Macaca fascicularis: one gene and its partner. The protein of the gene in region 1 interacts with the protein of each later gene in a pairwise test. Links are inferred from orthologs where the notes say so. Each region holds a gene or a part of one and is shown on either strand. Other genes may lie near its edges.

Region 1 (4,421 bases):
AACCTCAGTAAATTTACTTAATCTAAGTGGAGTCCAGGTGCTGGGGTGATTACCCTTATCTTGTCTCCTGCTAAATCATGGAGGTTTGGGGGAGTTCCTTCAAACCCCAGTAAACTTGTTTGTGGAGCCCTGAGGAGCTTCTTCAGACCTCCAATAAAGTTTGTTTAATCCTAAAAGCGTCCTGCTAAGAATTCCTTCGTTATCTTGTCATGCTCCAAGGCCCAGGAAAAGCCTAGGCACAATTCTGGGTGGGCTTTTGTTACATCCCAGCCTTTGTACAAGGGCACTGGCTCTCTCGTCTTTTAATGTTTAACTTAACCCTTGTAATCCCAGCACTTTGGGAGGCCGAGGTGGGTGGATCACCTGAGGTCAGGAGTTTGAGACCAGCCTGGCCAACATAGTGAAACCCCGTCTCTACTAAAAAGACAAAAATTAGCCGGGCGTGGTGGCATGTGCCTATAATCACAACCACTTGGGAGGCTGAGAGGCAGGAGAATTGCTTGAACCCGCGAGGCAGAGGTTGCAGTGAGCCGAGATCGTGCCACTGCACTCCAGCCTGAGTGACAGAGTGAGACTCCATCTCAAAAAAAAAAAAAAAAAAAAGCAAAAAGCCTCTCTTGGCTGCTTGCTCTGTGCCTTGTGCAAGAATCCTTCCAGCCCAGGATCACTTAGTAGTCCTCAAACATTCTAGTTTGCTTTTCTAGAGGTTCGGTCACATTTCTATCCTAAGCAAAGACTATATAATTACCGAGTTGCAAAAATCATCTCTCCAAACGCCAAAACGGAGATAGGAGGGAAAATAAAAGATGTGAGAGGCAGGCATCCTGGGTAAACCACTCTGATATTGCAGGGTTGGGATCCCCAGGGTACTGTGATGGCTAACTGGAACAGAATGCAGGTATTTCTCCAAAGCCCAAGATTTCATAAAAGCAAATTAGATATGATTCAATGGATTAATCAAGGGCCACCAGTTGCATTACCGACTACTAACTTTGCAGAAATGAAACACGGTATGCTGGGTCAAGGTTCAGTGAGACTGGTTTTCTTAACATTCCAGGCAATAAACAGGCATGCTCATTCACTGATAAAAGTTGACAATGACAGGTGGTGACTGTTGATAAGGTCTGATTGCCATTCAGAAAGTTTGACCTCTTTCCAAGTAACCACGGCCTTACCTCTCCCTTTTGAGCTTATCACAATTGGTGACTGTACACTTGTTTCATAGACTTCCCCACTAGACTGTGAGCTCCATAGGGCTGGGTCCCAGGTCGGTTTCACCACCAGGCTCTCTCGCCTAACTCGGCCGACGGGAGGCGGTTTTCAGCTGCTCTGGCTCCATAGCTCAGCCTGGCAGCGGCCAGTGGGTGCCCTGATTTGGTCGGCCCCGCCTCCCAGGGCCTTACTTCCGGGAGGCTTCAGGCGGGAGCAAGAAACATGGTCACATACAACGTAATGCGCCTGCGCAGAGTCCGTCCTGCGCCTGCGCATTCCTGGCAGCTCCTCCCGGACCGGACATAACGGTCCCCGCGCGGCTCCCCGAACCGGAAGTGGAGGTGAGCTGTCGCGGGCGGCGCCCGGCCTTGCTCAACGCCTGGCAGTCCCCACCGTCGCTGCCGCTGCCGAGGCCTCCTGCAGCCACCATGTCCGCTAGCGCCGTCTACGTGCTGGACCTGAAGGGCAAGGTAATGAAGGCTCCCCACCCTCCCTGTTGCCAGGCAACCGGCGGGGGCCTCCGCCCGCGGGGACCCACCCTGTTGCTAGGTAACCGGCTTATGAGCCCCACCCTGGTGTGAGGCAAAGAGGCCGGTAGACCTCACCTGAGAGCCCCACCCTATTTCTGGGTAACCGGGCGGGGGTCGTAAGTGGGTAATCCACGCCCTGTTGCTAGGTAACGCGGTGGGCTGCAGCCACCGCGTTGCCAGGTAACCGACTGCACCGCCCTCTGCTCCCAGGCACCCGGGCCAGAGGCTCTGGGCTCGGTGGAGGACCCAGAAGCGGGGCCGCAGCCGGCCTTGGAGCCAGGCAGGGTGTCCAGGGGCTGCGCGACCCTTGGCCGGGGGTGGCGAGGCGTGGCGGGGACTGGGTGCTCTCCAGCCAGTCCCGCCCTCTCAGGGCGTTGCAGCTTCTGTTTATCGTGCACTTTCTCTCAGGAGGAATTTCTCCACGTTCATTGCGATAGTGAGTTACAAGGGTTAGGTGAGTGGATGGTGATCACGAGTACCGTTTTATAGAGGGAGAAACTGAGGCACGGAGAGGTGAAGTAACCTGACCAAGGTCACAATGGTCACAGAGAAGTAGGAAGTCTAGGAGTCCGATCCAGAAGCATTTGTTTATTTAGCTGATATCTGGGGAGCACCTACTAATGCCAGGCAGGATAGTAAGCCTGGGGTCGATTTGTGTTTAGCAAAAAACAATCCTGCTTTTTTTTTTTTCTTTTTGAGATAGTGTCATGCTCAGTCGTCCAGTCTGGAGTGCAGTGGTGCGATCTCCACTCACTGCAACCTCTGCCTCCTGGGTTCAAGCAATTCTCCTGCCTCAGCCTCCCAAGTAGCTGGCATTACAGGCACCTGCCACCACGCCCAGCTAAATTTTGTATTTTTAGTAGAGACAGGGTTTCACCATGTTGACCAGGCTGGTCTCGAACTCTTGACCTCAAGTGATCCAGCTGTCTCAGCCTCCCAAAGTGCTAGGATTACAGGCGTGAGTCACTGTGCCAGGGCTCAACAATCTGTGTTCTTATGACGTTCACAGGCTGATTGGGGAGATGGATACCGATCTCCAAAAACACAAATAAATGTCAGTTGCAGTGGGGGGGTGGGGCGGATGTGTTATACAGACGGTCAGCCTCAGCCAGAGGATGAGAGAGGGTTTTCCTAAGGAGGGGTGACAAATGGACCTGAGATACCAGGGAGCTGGACATAGACTAGAACCCGGGCATCTTCCCCAGAGGATCTGAGAAAACTGAAAGAAGGGATTGTCCCCGCCTTTTAGAAATGGTCCTCTGCCTTCTCCCAAGTCCATCCCAGGTACAAGGCAAGTGGCTGCCTGGCCTGTTGCATGTGGAAGCAACAAGCACCGGTCCAACAATGTTAAACCCAACATTGGTCAGTGAGAGAAACAAACGTGGGTGTCAGGTCCTAGGTGAGGCGGGCAGGGGTGAGCCCTAAAGCAGCTGAGAGTGAAGAGGTGAAGTGGCTGCCCCTTCCTGTCCCACCCCACCCCCACACTTTCCTGAAGTCCCTTGAGTGGGTGCCTGCCCTGGAAGCCAACCAAAGCCAATAACTGGTGAGATCCAGTGCTGGGTTTCCTTCCCCCGCCTTCTTGGAAGCAGGGAAGACACCCGTCTTAGATCACGCCAGGGGCTGGGTGTGTGCAGTGTACCCTGAGTCCTGGTGACATGAGTCTTGCTTCCGCACTGGCCACTGCCTCCCCAGAGGTGCCAGCGGGCTGCCTGTCTTGGCTGGCTTATTCCTTCAGCAAACATTTCATGAGCACCTAGGATGCACCCTGTCCTGTGCCAGGCATAGGGTGTCCATTGGCACCGTGGCTGTGGTGTTAGGGCTGAGCTCAAAACCCATCTCTGCTGCTCAGCTGTGTGACCTGGGACAGGCACCTTCTCTCTGAGCCTCGCTTTCCTCACTGGTCAAAAGAGGCTTTCATGGAGTTATTGTGCAGATTTGCCGAGCAGATGTGTGAGACAGGCTCAGCACCACCCATGGTCCATGTTAGCTTTCCCAGGCCTCTCGGTCTAGCAGGGGAGTCCTCTAGAAGCAGAGACATTACCACACAGTTGGATCCAGGCAGCCACAGGGGCAGGAACAAGGTCCCAAGTCCTGCAGTTGCTCAACCTCGTCTTTAGCCAGTGGAAGGTGGAGGTGGTTATGAAAGGCTCCCTGGAAGAGGGCAACGCCGGAAGTGGGTTTGGAAGGTGATCAGGCACGATCTGGTGGAAAAGAGGTATTGCAAGGGGCAGCCTGCTGGGGCCGCTGAGCCAGAAGTCCTGGCTAATGCTGAGATGGGAGAGAGGGACCAAGGGGACCACTTCATTTCCAACAAGGAGCCACCGTGAGGAGACCATAGCCCAGAGAGGCATGATCAGACCTGCCTTTCAGAAAGCTCCCCAAGGCAGCCATGGGCTTCCCTCCCTCCCTCTGCAACCATGATGCCCTTTCTTATTCCACAATCCACGGACCTCCTGTTTCCAAAGTCGGCCTCGTGAGCCGACTGCATTTCATCAAAAATAAAGCACACTGAGAAATTCGTGGCCACGTGTCTGGTCACCGAGGACACTGGCGTGGCCACACTGGGCTGGAAGGAAGCTCTCCTAGTAGGAAGCTTCTCCGCTTTATCTAGCTGGCTTCTTACACCACTAACCACCACTAACCACCTCCTCTTCAGCGCTCCCTTCCGCTTCCGGGAGG
Region 2 (3,642 bases), on another chromosome or scaffold:
GCAGGCGGAGCTGAAGGGAAAGTGGGGCAGTGACTATGAGACCTTCAAAAACTCCTTTGTGGAAGCCTCTATGTCAGTGGTCATGAAACTGTTCCCACAGCTGGAAGGGAAGGTAGGGGGTAAAATATTTGGGGTGGTGACAGACCTCATGGTGCCATTTCTGCCCTTTCCTTGCAAAGACAGGGGAATTGGGCCCCACGACATGAGCCCCAGGGAAGGACAGGGCACCCATACCCACAGTCAGCAAATGGGAGACAGTGGAAGAGGGAGGGGAGCCAGGATCTCACGTGCCCGCCCCACCCTTTGTGCCCTCAGGTGGAGAGTGTGACTGCAGGATCCCCACTCACCAACCAGTTCTATCTGGCTGCTCCCCGAGGTGCCTGCTACGGGGCTGACCATGACCTGGGCCGCCTGCACCCCCGTGTGATGGCCTCCTTGAGGGCCCAGAGCCCCATCCCCAACCTCTACCTGACAGGTATACTCACTGCCCCATGTTGTCAGGACCTGAGACCCTGGGCCCCTGTCGCCCAATGTCCTCTCTTCCTGTCCTCAGGCCCTGCTGTCCCCTGCAGCTTCTCATCCCCTGAGCAGGGCTGCCTGGGCAGGCTGTGGCCCTGGTCCTGATTGGAGCCAGCTCTGGGTGGCCCTCATGTGGAGGGAAGAGCACCAGGGCCCCACCCTCCCCTGGGCCTGCCTGGGTCACGCTCAGGGGCCTCTGCTCTTGCCTCCTAGGCCAGGATATCTTCACCTGTGGGCTGGTCGGGGCCCTGCAAGGTGCCCTGCTGTGCAGCAGTGCCATCCTGAAGCGGAACTTGTACTCAGACCTTAAGGATCTTGGCTCTAGGATCCAGGCACAGAAGAAGAAGAATTAGTTCCATCAGGGAGGAGTCAGAGGAATCTGCCCAATGGCTGGGGCATCTCCCTTGACTTAACCCATGTCTTTCTGCATTAGTTCCTTGCACATATAAGGCACTCTAATTTGGTTCTGATTCCTGAAGAGAGGCCTAGTTTAAATCACAATTCCGAATCTGGGGCAATGGAATCATTGCTTCCAGCTGCGGCAGGTGAGATCATTATGCCTTTTATAACATCCCGTCCCTACTAACAGGATATTGACTTGGATAGCTTGATGTCTCATGACAGGCAGCGCTCTGCATCGCTCACCCATACCTCCTCACTCAGTGATCAGAGAAAATTCCATCGGTGGATAGAATGCCTGGCAGTGTTGTCAGCTCAAGCTGGTGGGTTCAGTTCTGTCCTGAGGCTTCTGCTCTCATTCACTTAGTGCTGTGCTGCACAGTTCTACACTGTTGAGGGAGAAGGGAGACCAATGAGGCTTAACTCAAAACCTGGGCATTGTTTTGGTTGCCATTCCATAGGTTTGGAGAGCTCTAGATCTCTTTTGTTCTGGGTTCAGTGGCTCTTCAGGGCACGGGAAATGCCTGTGTCTGGGCCGGTGTGGTCTGGAGCTTTGGAGTAACAGCGGGATCCATCAGTTATTAGGGGGCACGTCAGATGATCATATCCAGTTCATATGGAAGTCCTGGGTCTGCCTTCCTTATGATCGGGGTGGCATCTGGTTCTCGATGTGCCAGCATCAAGGCACCTTCAGGGAGCTCAGTACCTGAGCCTCAATCAAGCCTCATCCTCCAAATATGTGGGGAAGGGTGACGCAGGGAAGGGTGACATCAGGAGTCAGGTCATGGACTGGTTAGAAGATTACCTTATTGTGTTGAGGCAGGCTGCAAGGCATTCCAGACAACGGCACAGCAGGGGACAGCACAGGGAGGCAACAGAGTGTTCCCAGCAATGGCCCAGCTACTGAAAGCAACAGAGGCAGCCAGGCTGGGAGGAGTCAGGTGGTAGGAGAGTTGGTCAGGAGCAGAACATGGAAAGCCAGAGAAAGTGTGCAAAGCTCAGAAATGGCATCTGTAATTTACTGGTACCGTGTGTGTTGGATGGAAGGTGAAGGAAGGCTCAAAAGGCATAAAAAGGACCTTTCACTTATGTTAAACTGACATGCCAAAGGTCTTATTGTAGTTCATCTTAATGTAATATTCATAAATTTATTGACCGGGTGCCGTGGCTCATGCCTGTAATCCCAGCACTTTGGGAGGCCGAGGTGGGCGGATCACGAGGAAGAGATTGAGACCAATCCTGGCCAACATGGTGAAACTGCGTCTTCACTAAAAATACAAAAATTACCTGGGCGTGGTGGTGCACACCTGTAGTCCCAGCTACTCAGGAGGCTGAGTTAGGAGAATCGCTTGAACCTGGGAGGTGGAGGTTGCAGTGAGCCAAGATCGCACCACTGCACTCCAGGCTGGTGACAGAGCAAGACTCTATCTCAAAAAAAATAAAATAAAATTAAAATAAAATAAAATAAAATAATGTATTAAATCCATTGCTTTAACATTCTGAAATTTATTTTGGTTTCTGTTCAACAAAACTACATTGGGATGGCATTAACAGAAGCTCGGAAAAACATTATGCACTGAAAAATACTTCTCATTAGACCGCAACAAGCTTTAAAAAAATAAAATTAAGTAATTAAGTTACAAAAAGCTGAAAATATAAAACATTGTGGAAACAGTAGCCATCTATTAACTGGGAAAATACAAAAGAAGAGAAACAATTTCAACTATTAATAATGTATCGAACATGAAGTCTGGTGAATTAAAGGGGTATCTATCAGAGGATGAAGGGCTGGGCTTACCCACTGACGTACTATACAGCTCAGACCCAAACCCTTCACAAAGGAGACTCTAAGTTTACATCTGACTTGCGGAACTAGCTGAATGGAGTCACTGTTAGCTCTGGAGATACTGTTAAATTAAACCTCAAAATCTCTCCCAAGGACTCTTGCTCAAGCAAGTCACACTAAACCCAACCTTTCTAACAGGGGTTTTCAGGAAATGGCCTGCAGAAGCACAGGGTCTGGTGCCTCACACAGCTTCCTCCACACTGCAAGTTCTCTAGTTCTCATCACGCCCACAGCATCTGGCATCAGGTCACCCTGTACAGTCAAGGGCCACAGAATTAACCAGCAGGGAAATTCCAGAGGTTTAGAATTCTATCAGCACATGTGTCACTGGAAGCCATCATGGGGGTACCATGTCAGAGCATATGTAACTAGCTGTCAAGTCTTTCCCCGTTGCCTCAGCCTTTCTACAGACTGGCCTTCGACCTCCCCTGAGTCTGGAACTAGACTGTTTCAGCAACTCTCTTCAGGGATCTGCAGCAGGAAAATTGCTTCCTCTATTAACATCTATGACTGAAGCACAGATTTGTCTAACAGAAATCACCCTTCACCCAAAAGCTGGGTGCAGAAAGGGAAGCCCTTAGCTGACTATAGGAGGTGCCTCTTGTGGCTGCACGTGCTTCTTACACCCCCCAGCTTGAACGACGCTTCAGCCAGCTCACCCTCATCCACACAATCTCCAGGAAACATGCTTCAAACATTCTATCTTTGAAAAGACACCTTGCAGAAAATAAGTTTTCCTTTGCTGTGTGGTATTTTCTTCAGTGCTGTGTTTTTTGTTTTTTTTTTTTTTTGAGCGGAGTCTCGCTCTATTGGCAGGCTGAAGTGCAGTGGCATGATCTCAGCTCAATGCAACCTCCGGCTCCCGGATTCAAGCAATT

What was found.
Region 2: the proteins of AP1M1 (region 1) and TGOLN2 interact in a two-hybrid assay, tested with the Homo sapiens proteins (2 studies listed by BioGRID). The link is inferred for Macaca fascicularis from reciprocal best matches to the Homo sapiens genes AP1M1 and TGOLN2.

Annotation. Positions count from the first base shown.
Region 1 is NC_088393.1:16,518,847-16,523,267, forward strand, and holds the start of AP1M1 (AP-1 complex subunit mu-1), read left to right. Parts: upstream 1-1,543; 5' UTR 1,544-1,640; coding exon 1,641-1,682; intron 1,683-4,421. UniProt on the Homo sapiens protein: Subunit of clathrin-associated adaptor protein complex 1 that plays a role in protein sorting in the trans-Golgi network (TGN) and endosomes.
Region 2 is NC_088387.1:36,275,385-36,279,026, reverse strand, and holds part of TGOLN2 (trans-Golgi network integral membrane protein 2), read right to left. Parts: exon of another isoform or gene 2,405-3,642; intron 2,343-2,404; coding exon 2,238-2,342; 3' UTR 2,206-2,237; exon of another isoform or gene 2,050-2,205; intron 1,106-2,049; exon of another isoform or gene 873-1,105; coding exon of another isoform or gene 733-872; intron 476-732; coding exon of another isoform or gene 316-475; intron 113-315; coding exon of another isoform or gene 1-112. Other genes in the region: all-trans-retinol 13,14-reductase-like, read left to right, coding at 1-112, 316-475, 733-872. UniProt on the Homo sapiens protein: May be involved in regulating membrane traffic to and from trans-Golgi network.